Regions from separate parts of the Mus musculus genome. Here region 2 is reported to be linked to region 1. Evidence: microRNA targets listed by miRTarBase, many of them from high-throughput screens and not tested one by one. Region 1 holds a microRNA gene; the other region holds the end of a gene's coding sequence.
What was found. The annotated mature microRNA mmu-miR-488-3p reads UUGAAAGGCUGUUUCUUGGUC and lies in region 1 at 2,483-2,503, shown strand. An mRNA with a match to its seed (bases 2 to 7 or 8) in the 3' UTR can be bound and repressed. Matches are read on the target gene's strand: a 7mer-m8 pairs with bases 2 to 8, a 7mer-A1 pairs with bases 2 to 7 and ends in A, and an 8mer does both.

Region 1 (5,380 bases):
GTGCTTCTACACAGGATTCATTTTTTTTTTCCAAATAAAATGAAAGAATTCAATCAAAGCATCAGATCTTAGATGTTAGCTATATCTATCGAGAGAGTGGATAGGACAACCTTGGCCCTAACGTAACAGAACAAGATCAGGGTCAAAAACATGAAGCAAAGGAAGATCTGTTCTTTTAAGATAGCCAACCTCTCTCTCTCTCTCAAACTGCTATGAATAAGTACACCTTAAAAGACAGCATCTCAAGAGTGGTCCTCAAGGTACTGCCCAGTCCCTTCTTTGAGGAAGACACAGTCAATACAGCATGCTGCTAAAGATGCAGAGACTTTCCATGAGGCTGCAAAAGGTGAAATCACATAATTGGGAAATGGAAATTCTCGTTAGCATCTAGAAGATGACCTGTATCAATAATCATTTCCTAATACAATCTAATGTCTGAGAACTTTAAAAATCTGAGAGTAGAAAGGAAGATTCTCCAGCATGCATCATATTCCACATAGCACCAAGGCCATGGAATGGACAAATGGTACTTTGGGGGTTCAATCCCAAAGCTCTTTAGGGAACAGACAGATTGCCCAAATCCATGCAGTAGTTAAGAGTTCAATCAGCAGGGAATACTGGAGTCTGTGATGAAAGACAGGCCACATTTTGTCAGAATGCACATAGATTCTATTTCTGCTAAAACCCAGTGCTGTCCAGAAGGAAAAACCCCACATTTTGTGTTTAGCCAAAGGCTGGCTAGTAGTGACATTATCAATACGGAATTAGCTAAATTGGATTTTCAATGGTAATCCTCTTACTTCGCTCCTCCTGTAACTTTGTAGCCCCTAGACAGCAGAAAGGAATGTCTTCCTTTCCACCAGCCTCTTTTTCTATGTTCCTCGTTTCAATAATTGGGACCTATCTACTCAGCTCAAGCAGACTTTCTCACTTCCATTCATTTTTTTGCCTTTACTCTTGTTTTGTTTTGTTTTTTCCTGACTTTTCCTTATATAGGGAGTGACAATGCCAAGCTTTCCCTGATGAACAAGTATAAAGACAATATCATAGCCACAAGCCCCGTGGATTCTAACCACCAGCAAGCCACTCTGCTCTCCCACACCTCCAGCAGCCAGAGAAAGAGGATCAACAATAAAGCCAGAGGTACTCATGTCTAGTTCTACGTTATTCAGATGAGTTCCAGAATGTGGGCAGAGGTGGTGGGCCCATTAATCCAACTACATGCACTGTGATACATAGCTACAAATGTATATGTCTGGTACAACCTTCAGGAGGCCAGATAGATGCTACTCACCCCAAAATTTAAGATTAGAAACCTCTTGATTACATACTGTCATGGACATGAGTATTTTCTAGGAACAAATTGAACAACTGTGCAAAGATGTTTGTAAATGGCTGCTTATCACATTTAAACAAGCTAAAAATCAGAAATGGTATAGACGCCCATCAATAGGGAATTGGTAGACTATCTGGCACATCTGCCTAATGTCCAGTGATTTACCCTGCAGTCATTTAAAATGATCATATAGATCTTTATTTGTTAATATGGAAAGTTGCCCACCTATTCAATGAGGAAAATGTGATTATAATCAGGGTATGGCTCAATTCCATTTTAAAGGGAGATTGAAACCCCTTTACCTGTTTCAGTATCAGAAAAGGACAGAGGGTATATCCATCAAGCAATAGAAAAAATTGCCCCTGTTTTAGAGGGCTTGCAGGACATGTTCCCTGCACATACGCCTATCTCTCTTTTTATCCTTTTTGTATATATTCTTGAATCAGGAAAAACTCAGAAGTATAATGTCTTTTCTGCTCTGATGCAATTCTGGTCTTCTATCAAGCAGGATGGAACATTTTCCTTTCTTTTTCCTCTACCCCCTCCCTTCTCTGGAAGTCCTCTCTGACGAGTAGATGCCCGACAAGTCCCTAATCACAGAACCATGTTCTCTGCAGGGATCAGAGCACTATCTGTTGCTCTCCTAAGTGCCTGCTTCTTCACAAGCCTGGGTATCAAGAAGTCCCAGCCCCTCTGCTACCTCTCCGAGACTGTGTGTCAGCCACTCTTATTTTTATTAACTTCCCAATTAGACCTCATCCTGTGATTCTGCAATCATGCAAAATGAAAATATCTGCTCTGATTCTCAATTCATTTCAGCTGGTTCTGCCTTCTTGAACCCTGAAGGGGACTCCAGCACAGAGGCCGAAAATGACCCACAGCTGACCTTCTACACAGACCCCTCTCGGAGCCGGAGGCGCAGTCGAGGTACGGATGGTGGGAAGGTGTGTAAGTAGGGTGTAGGTGGGAAAAGCAGGGGCCACAGAGCGCTCCCTCACTCTGTGGACTGGAGCCAACTTCAGCAGGAAGAATGCCTGGATCCCAGCTGGAGCTTCCTCCAGGGAGGAATGGAGAGCCTAGAGTTCGGGTGAGAGTGAGAATCCTCTCTCCCAGATAATAGCACTCTCAAACAAGTTTCCATGTTGTTTGAAAGGCTGTTTCTTGGTCAGAAGACTCTCAATTTCTTCTGGAAGACTCAGCAGTCATGTTTTACTATTCAGACAAACAAAGTGGATGGGGTTTAATAAATGAATAATACACGTACTTGTCATCAGTTCAACTGCATTGGCCTTGAGATTGAGCTAGACTGGGGTAGGAGGGCATGGTCAGTAAGGAATTATCTAGGAGTTGAGAATAACTTGGCCTTTGAGGTTTTACACAGTAGAATCTTGAGACCCACGCCTCCAAACCCTTCACTTCTCCTGGCACAGTTTAAGCTAATTTATTATTCACATCTACACTTCTGTATGTATGGCTGCAGGGTCATCCTAGGTGAAGTCCCGGACTTCAGCTGTGACTCCTGCTACTACTGTAGGAGATACTATGACCTTCCTGGTGTTGCCATTACCTCTGACAGTGTTCTATAGACAAACAGCAGTGAGTTTCAGGATCTCCTTCCTGTGTGGCGTGGCATAAGGATGCAGACCCTCTGAGCATCCATTCTCACATATTGAATGACTTCCAAATAACACATACAGAAGGCTTCTGTGAGAATTACATCCTTTCTTTATTTTGGCAACTGCTAAAGTACTATGAAATCCTCATTGCTACTGCTGGATCTTCCCAGTAGTAGTCTATAGTTTTTACCGAGCCCCGTGTTGAAATATACTAAACAGACTCTCCTCAAGACATTGGTGGAGGATATATGAATGGCATCAACTGTGTCATCTTTGCGTGGCTATAATGCAGTGGCCTTGCCAAACAATGCCTAACCAGTGGCTTTCAGAACTCACACATACTGGCTGAGTCCTACCTCCACTCAAATTCTCTTCATACAGAATTTATTCTTCCCAGGAACTCCAAGAAGGAAGATACTTTCCTTCTGTGTTCCAGTGTCTGTAAGCTCCTCAGTCTGTAGCATTTGAGTTTTTCTTGTCACCTCTTTTCCTGAGGAGCCAGCGGGGCTCTTAATTGACTAACTGTAGAGTCTCATTTTTCCTGACATTAGAATATGGATAACAGTACCTTCCTCTCCCTAGATGCTCAAAATCATTTATAGAACAAATACACAATCTAGGCTGTATCAAAGCAGGTTGTGTCTTGTTTTAATAAAGTCTTATTTGAGAAAACCCCTGGTGGTGGGTTAGAGTTAGTTACTTTACAGCATAACATGATTTGTTTTCCTAACTTCCAAGTCCCTGTAATGCATCAACTGTCTACTGCTATTAACTAAACTGTAAGTGGCTTAGGGGTGGAGCGTTCCTATAATTATTTTTTCAAAGTGCCTACTAAAGGAGTTTGCCTATAATATATGTGTGTGAGTGTCTGCTTAATTGGACTGGATACATCAATCAGACCAGCAAAAGCATCATATAACCTAGCTCCTATGGGTCAGCCTCTATGATAGGTAGTGGATACATGAAAACATGGCAGAACGATAAGGCTTTATTTAATAATGTAAATAAACAAAACAAGCACTCAGAAGCGATACACTTAATTCTACATGGCAGCAATAGGAGGCAGTAAAGAAGAGTTAGCACTGAAAAATAGGTAATGTATAGAATGTCTGGAAAAAGAATTCTTAGATGTGAACATTTCAGTAGAGGAATGAAGTACATTAAAAAAAAAAAGCTGAGGACTCTAAGCAATGTGGTTGTCAAGGAAGTGAGGGAGCCTGTAGCTCTAGCCAGGATATAAACAAACATAGGGGAAGTAAGGATGAAGGCAGAGAATAAGCTAACTACCAAAGCACAAACCTGCCTGCCACGCTCTTAGAATTGCACTGGATTCTGTAAACAAATAGGAAACCACTGGACAATGTGAAGGCAGGCGAGGAGGCTAGATTGTGGGTTGACAGTGCACATAGAGGAAAGGGACAAAAATATCAGTTGCAAGTTATTGCAATCACAGGAGAGCAGTGGCAAGTGCCTGCAAACAGTGATGACATCGTGTGATAAGAGCTGTAACAGCAGGGTGCACTAAGGGCTAGAAGAACAAGGAAGAGTGAGAATCTGTTCTTGAAGGTTTCAGGGAAGTGTTTTCAGGAAGCTGTTGTTGAAGCGTAGGTGTTGACCAGGATGACAAGGTGACAAAATGGCCTTCTGTGGAGGAGGAGATAATCTGTGCAAAGTCACTGGAATGGAAGAGATGGTTTAGTGAGAAAACTGAAACATAGTTCAGTAAAGTCTAGGGTGCATGTTTGTGGATTGTTTGGGAAAGCCAGCCAAATGCTCAGCAGAATCCAGGAAGAATATAGTCGTGACTGCAAAGGTCTTGGATCTGTCTAGTTTAGCTAGTCAGTTGTGCTGTGTGGAGGCCTCTGTCTCTCCTCTGGAGGCAGTGTAGACAATAGCTGAGAACCAGTGGGTGTATCTGTGAGGGTAAGACAGGTACTGCCTGAGTCCTAATGTAAGATGAGAAAATGGAGATGTAACCTTGAACATCAACAACAAAACAAAAGACCTTCTATTTAAAGAGTTGGTGGTAAGAAAGTGTGCCTTGTGAACAAACAGGGAAAGTGTTGGATCGAATGGAGTTGTAGGAGTTGAGAAGCCATCTGATGACAGTGGAGATCAGACAGGATACTGGGTTTGAGAAACAGGACAGGTAGAGTTGGCAGTATGTAGAGCATTTAGTGCCAGAGGGAGGATGTTCTCTTGATGGATGTGATACTGTGGGTTAATCCTTAAGTGTGAGGAAATGGACTCCATGTGTAATATTCAAAATTAATCTGTAAGCATTATCTTGCCCAAGGACTAGGTAACTCCCTGGAATGCTGGGAGTTCTTAAAAAATAATAAAGCCTCTTGGGAAAGTATCACGGCCTGTAGGTATGCCTTTGTAACCCCCTGTAGTACGGGTCTCAGGGCCATTCAGCTGGAAAATT
Region 2 (5,380 bases), not on the chromosome of region 1:
TGTGGAGGTCAGATAAGAACCTGTGGGAGTCAGTCCTCTCCTTCCACCACGTAAGCCTTGGGGATCTAATTCACCTCCTCCGACTTGGCAGCAAATGCCTTCACTCACTGAGCCATCTTGTCAGCCCAGGACCTCAGAATTTTGAAAACACCAGGACCATGGTATGTTTTCCCAAGAAAGGCATGGGTGAGCAGAACTACCCCATGAGAGAGGCTGCATGTGCAGCAGGTAGACTGTTGAGGCCCAGATGCTGGGCCAAGAGCTCCAGGTTTGGAATGCCACATTTCAGGATTTGGTATTTCCCAGCAGACTCCTGTCAGCTTTGGTCTGATTTTTTCTTTTGATGCACTCATTCTTTCCTATTTTAACCTGTGCCCTTGGAAGTTAAAAGGTTGGTTGTTGTTGGTCTCACTCACTGTGCAGCCAAGCTGGACTCATACATATTGAAAGTTTATAACTTCCTTTATATTATTTTACAGAGTTTACAGTTAAGGGGGTGCTGGAGCCTCAGTAGAGGCTTCTGAACAATGTTGGGCATTTGAGGGGCTGGTGAGAGGGCTTGGTGTATGCAGGTGCCTGCTGCTAAGCCTGACCCCAGTGAGTTTGATCCCCAACAACCACTTGGTGGGGAAAAAAAACAACTCTTACAAGCCGTACTCCAAGATCCACATATACCTCATAGCTTTACCTCCTGCCCCTACACACAAATAAAATAAAATTATTTTGAGCACATTCAGAGACAGACCAAATGCACCTTGCATTTTGAGATGGCCAAGAAGGCCTAGGGACAGGGCAGGCGACTGTGATGTAAGGGGATGTATGTGCCAGGTTGGTAAGGGATGACCAACCCTGGTCACTGTCACTTTGACTAGATATGGACTCCCTTGGAAGTCTGTGAGAGCATTTCCAGGGAGCTTTAACTGAGGACAGAAGACTCACCCTGAACAGGGGTGGCACCATGCCATGGACCAGAGATCTAGAATGGATTTTAAACAACAAAGTATCTCCCCCATGTGAGCCACAGCTATGAGCCCCTCCCCTCCCCCTACCCCGGGCTTTCACCGTGGTGGACTGGAACTGCAAACCCTAAGCCCAAAGAAACCCTTCCCTGTTTAAACTACTGAGTCAGGTGTTTGGCTCACAGCAACTAAATAACCCTGGAATAGCCAGCTGTCTGCAGTGGGTTTAGTGAGCATAGTCTGTGTGGCATGTTTTCATCCACAGTGCCTACAGGAACAGGGGTCATGCTCTGATGACCAGGGGTCACACTCTGACATTCACACAGCAGCAGAAACTGCTAACATGCTCCTCATACCCTGTGCTCTCCCCAGCCACCAACCCAGAACATAGTTCATAATTTAATCTCCTTCAGGTTGTTTCGATGAACACAAGAATTTTCTTTTGTTTTGTTTTGTTTTGAGACAGGGTCTTGCTATGTAGAACACCCTGGCCTCAAACTCAGAGATCCTCCTGCCTCTACCTCCCAAGGCTGGGACTAAATGCTTGCGTGACCATGCCCCAGACATTGGAATTTTAGGCCAGAAGCTGTGCATCAAAACTTTCCACAGTTTTGATATAATGTCCACAATTCATAGAAAAGTCTTAACAAAAATGTGGCCTTCTTTCCCCTTCAGGGGTTCTCTGCTCAAACTACAGGTCCTTCAATTAAACAGAGATGGTATGGCTGGAGACTCCTAAACTAGCAGTCACCAACACCAAAGTGGGTGGACAAAGGACTGTGGTACACTCAGTGATAGGACAGTTCACAGCCATAGAGAAGAACATGAGAGACTATCATTTGTAGCAAAACAGACAGAACTGAAGGACATCATGTTCAATGAGTAAGTTGGCTGCACAGTGACGAACCTCATTCCCTCTCATACCCTGACTTAAAAGGATATGGAATTGTGAGGACCAGCTTTGGACAGAGACAGAAGGTAGATTTAAAACAAAGACCAAGTTTGCAGCTACTTGCATGCTGAAAATATCTTGTGGGTCTTCATTAATATATTACAATTAGTACATGTTAGTAAAAAAGTATTATTTTTAAAAATCTCAAACAAATTATTGTTCAATACATGTGCATATATTTTTAAATTACAGCTTAAAATAGATCTTTAATTTTATTGTTATTATATTATTACTACTATTGGTATGCATATGAGTGCATGGTGGGGGTGTCATCACCATGGTGCTTACCTTAGTGAATGTGTGGAGTCAGAGAGCAACTCTGAAGTCGGCTCTCTACTTCCACTCTCTGAGTGCCAGGGATTGAACTCAGCCCATCGGGACTGAGTAGCAAGTGCTGTTACCAACTGAGTCAGCTCATTGGCCCATAATTTTTAAAAATATTGATCTTAATTCTGTGTGTGTGTGTGTGTGTGTGTGTGTGTATGTTTGGGCAGGTATCTCCAAAGGCCAAAAGGCCTTTTGTGTGCCATCTGATGTGGGGGCTAAGATGGATCAAACTGCTGAGCCATCTCTCCAGACCTTTGTTGTTGTTGCTGCTGCTGCTGCTGCTGTTGGAGACAGGAATTCTCTGTATAGCCCTGGCTGTCCTGAACTCACTTTGTAGACCAGGCTGGCCTTGATCTCAGAAATCTGCCTGCCTCTGCTTCTGCCACTGCCACTGCCACTGCCACTGCCACTGCCACTGCCTCTCAAGTGCTATGATTAAAGGTGCACACAACCTCTGTTTGCCATAACCAGTAATTTTTTTAAAAAAATAAAATTTGACACTAACATTTTCAGAATTGCTAAAGCATGCATTGGAATCCTTATTTGGGAAGTAACTGAACAAGGTATCTTCAAAGGCCTCATTTTGAAGCTGGAATGTGACTGAGCAGTAAAGCCCCTTCCTGGATTCCCCCAGTAAGGGCTCAGGGTATGGCTTGAGATATAGCACTTGCCTTCAAGTCCTGGTTCTGTATCCAACACAGAAAAACAAGCTGTTTCTACTGCTGCTTTCACTGAGTCTGTCTAGTGTCCCATGGCGTGAAGGGGGCCTCTCACCTCTAAGGTCTGGCTGTAGCAAGGCTCCAGGCACAAGACCGGCTCACTAGATGGCTGTGAGCACTGTGGAGAAAGCCATTTCAAGGCAGAAGGTCTGGCAGCAAAGCAGGTAGATGCTAGCATGTCCTGATGTGTCAGGGAACTGAGTGAGACAGCATCTTAGCTGGGCACAGTGGTTATAGTTGTCCAAGCAGGAAATGGAGGCAGGAGGATAAGACTGTGCCAGCACTTTTGGCTACACATGGAGGCTGGTGTGGGCATCATGAGTGTTCATGTGTGCCTGAGCACCCATGTGGGTACATGTGATGTGTATCTGAAGGCATGAGGTTGAGTCAGGAATAATCATTGACTTCTCTTCTACCTTATTCATTGTGGCAGGGTCTCTTAATCAAACCCAGAGCTCACAGATGTGTCTAGCTAGCTAGCCAGAATGCTCAGGATCCTCTATGACCTTATTAGCTTTAACTGTCAACTTCACATAGCCTAGAGTCACCTGAGAAGCAAGTCTTAATTGAAGGGTTGCCCAGGTCAGACTGGTGTGTGGGCCTGTCCATGGGGCATTGTCTTGACTGCTAGCTGATGGAGGAGGGAGCCCACTGTGAGTGGTAAGTGGTTCTGGGGCTTATGAAAAAGCTTAGCTAATCAGGAGAACGGCAGAAACTACATCCTCTGTGGTTCAGGCTTGTGTCTTGAGTGAGAATGGCTCCCAGAGGCATATATATTTGAGTGTCTGGCCACCGGAGAGGGAACTGTTTAAAAGGATTCTCATGATATATCTTTCAGCTATTCCTGCAGCACCATGCCTGCCATGTGTGCCACCAGGCTCCCTGTCGTGATGACAGTGGACTAAGCCTTTGAAACTATAAACAGTTCTCCCAACCCCATTAACTGCTTTGCCATGGTCATGGTGTCTCTTGACCATCACTAATTGATAATGACGGAGACACTGCTGTATGACCGCGGCTGAGTCCCCTAGTCAGAGGTCATGCTGTGTGCAATAGCCAGCAGGCTTGCCTTCAGTTCCTGCTTGAGTTCGTTCCCTGACTTCCCTAAGTAAAGAACTGGGTGTGTGGCCTGGGGGTGAAAGCCAGATGAACCATTTCCTCCTCTAAGTTGCTTTTGGTCGAGTTTTTCAGTCACAGCAGTGGAAGAAACAAAAATAGCCTGTTCCCTGAGGCTAGGCTTACAGGTTGGTGACAGTGTGTACAATGTTCTTGTATTCTGGGATGCAAGGTGATTTAAGCCCTGAGCCAGCACCAGTCTTTTCTCTCTACATAGCTCTGGCTGTCCTGAAACTTACTATGTAACCTAAGGCTGGCCTCAAACTCACAGGAATCCTCCTGCCTCTGCCTCCTGAGTGCTGGGATTGAAAGCTATGCCACCACCAGATCCTAGGAGGATTTTTTTTACACACCATTTTGAGTCTCACAGCAGGAGCTGCAGACAGACTAACTATGCTGTGTGTTTAACTATGCTCTGTGTGGCTTTGCAGTATGGATTATGGGCTATTACTGGAGGCTCACTGCTATGAAGACAGGACAGCACCCATCACATCCCAGCAGTCTTTCACTCTCCATCACACAACACTTTGACAAGGTCACTCTTGGTCCCTACAATGATTTCAGATCCTCTCACAGCTAGTAACTGGCTCAGGGATAAGAATTGCACCAGTACAACTAAGAGGCAGAGCCAAGCCTTTGAGCCAAGTTCTTAGAGTAAGGTGGGAGATGCAGGCTGCTGCTCACTTGAAGGAAGTAGGCCTTCAGAACCCACAGAAAAAGCTATGAGGAAAAATGGAAGATGGTTGAGGGGAAGGGGGGGTCCACATGGCACCAGCAGAGAGAGTCAGTTGGCTTCAACCAGGTGAGCCATGGCTAAGTCACTGAAGCCCCTGCCTTGGTAGGCTTTCAGAGTATGAGGCAGACCTGTGAGCGTTTATTTGACTTTGATTCCTTTCCCTCTACGGCCACTGGTTCTGCATCCTGGGAGGCTTCTGCTGCAGCCAGCTCTTCCCTCTGCCTGGTCTTTACCAGCCACACTGCCTTCTTGAAGTTCTTGAGAGGGTCTTGCTGGGAGGCTCTGACTGACGGGCACTGGAAGCGCTCACGGATGAGATAGCCGTGGCTTGTGGGGGCCATGAAGCCATTGGAGGTAGGGATGATTCGGTTGATCACAGCATGAACAAACTGGACAGCCAAAAGAGTGCCTGTGACCAGGAAAGGGCAAGCCATGAGAAAATGGGGCCCAGAGATGGAAGGACATTGCAGCTGGTAATGTGCTTGGCCTGCAAACACAGGGCCTGAATTCAATCCCTTAACACGCATGCATGTGGAGGTGCACACTGGCAGTCCCAGCGCTCTGGAGGCAG

Region 2: miRTarBase lists Nwd1 as a target of mmu-miR-488-3p. Seed matches in the 3' UTR shown: 7mer-A1 at 4,379-4,385.

The regions. Positions count from the first base shown.
Region 1 is chr1:158,503,207-158,508,586 of GRCm38, forward strand. It overlaps Mir488 (microRNA 488), which reads left to right and starts at 2,419; the gene lies at 2,419-2,527. It overlaps Astn1 (astrotactin 1), which reads left to right. Exons shown (of 23, transcript NM_007495.4): 4 at 997-1,143; 5 at 2,156-2,263. The region is part of intron 1 of Gm37679 (a long non-coding RNA gene); the gene reads right to left.
Region 2 is chr8:72,711,431-72,716,810 of GRCm38, reverse strand. It overlaps Nwd1 (NACHT and WD repeat domain containing 1), which reads right to left. Exons shown (of 19, transcript NM_176940.5): 19 at 2,065-5,218. The coding sequence ends at 4,920. Among named protein-coding and RNA genes, the nearest start is that of Sin3b, 9.1 kb to the left of the region's middle.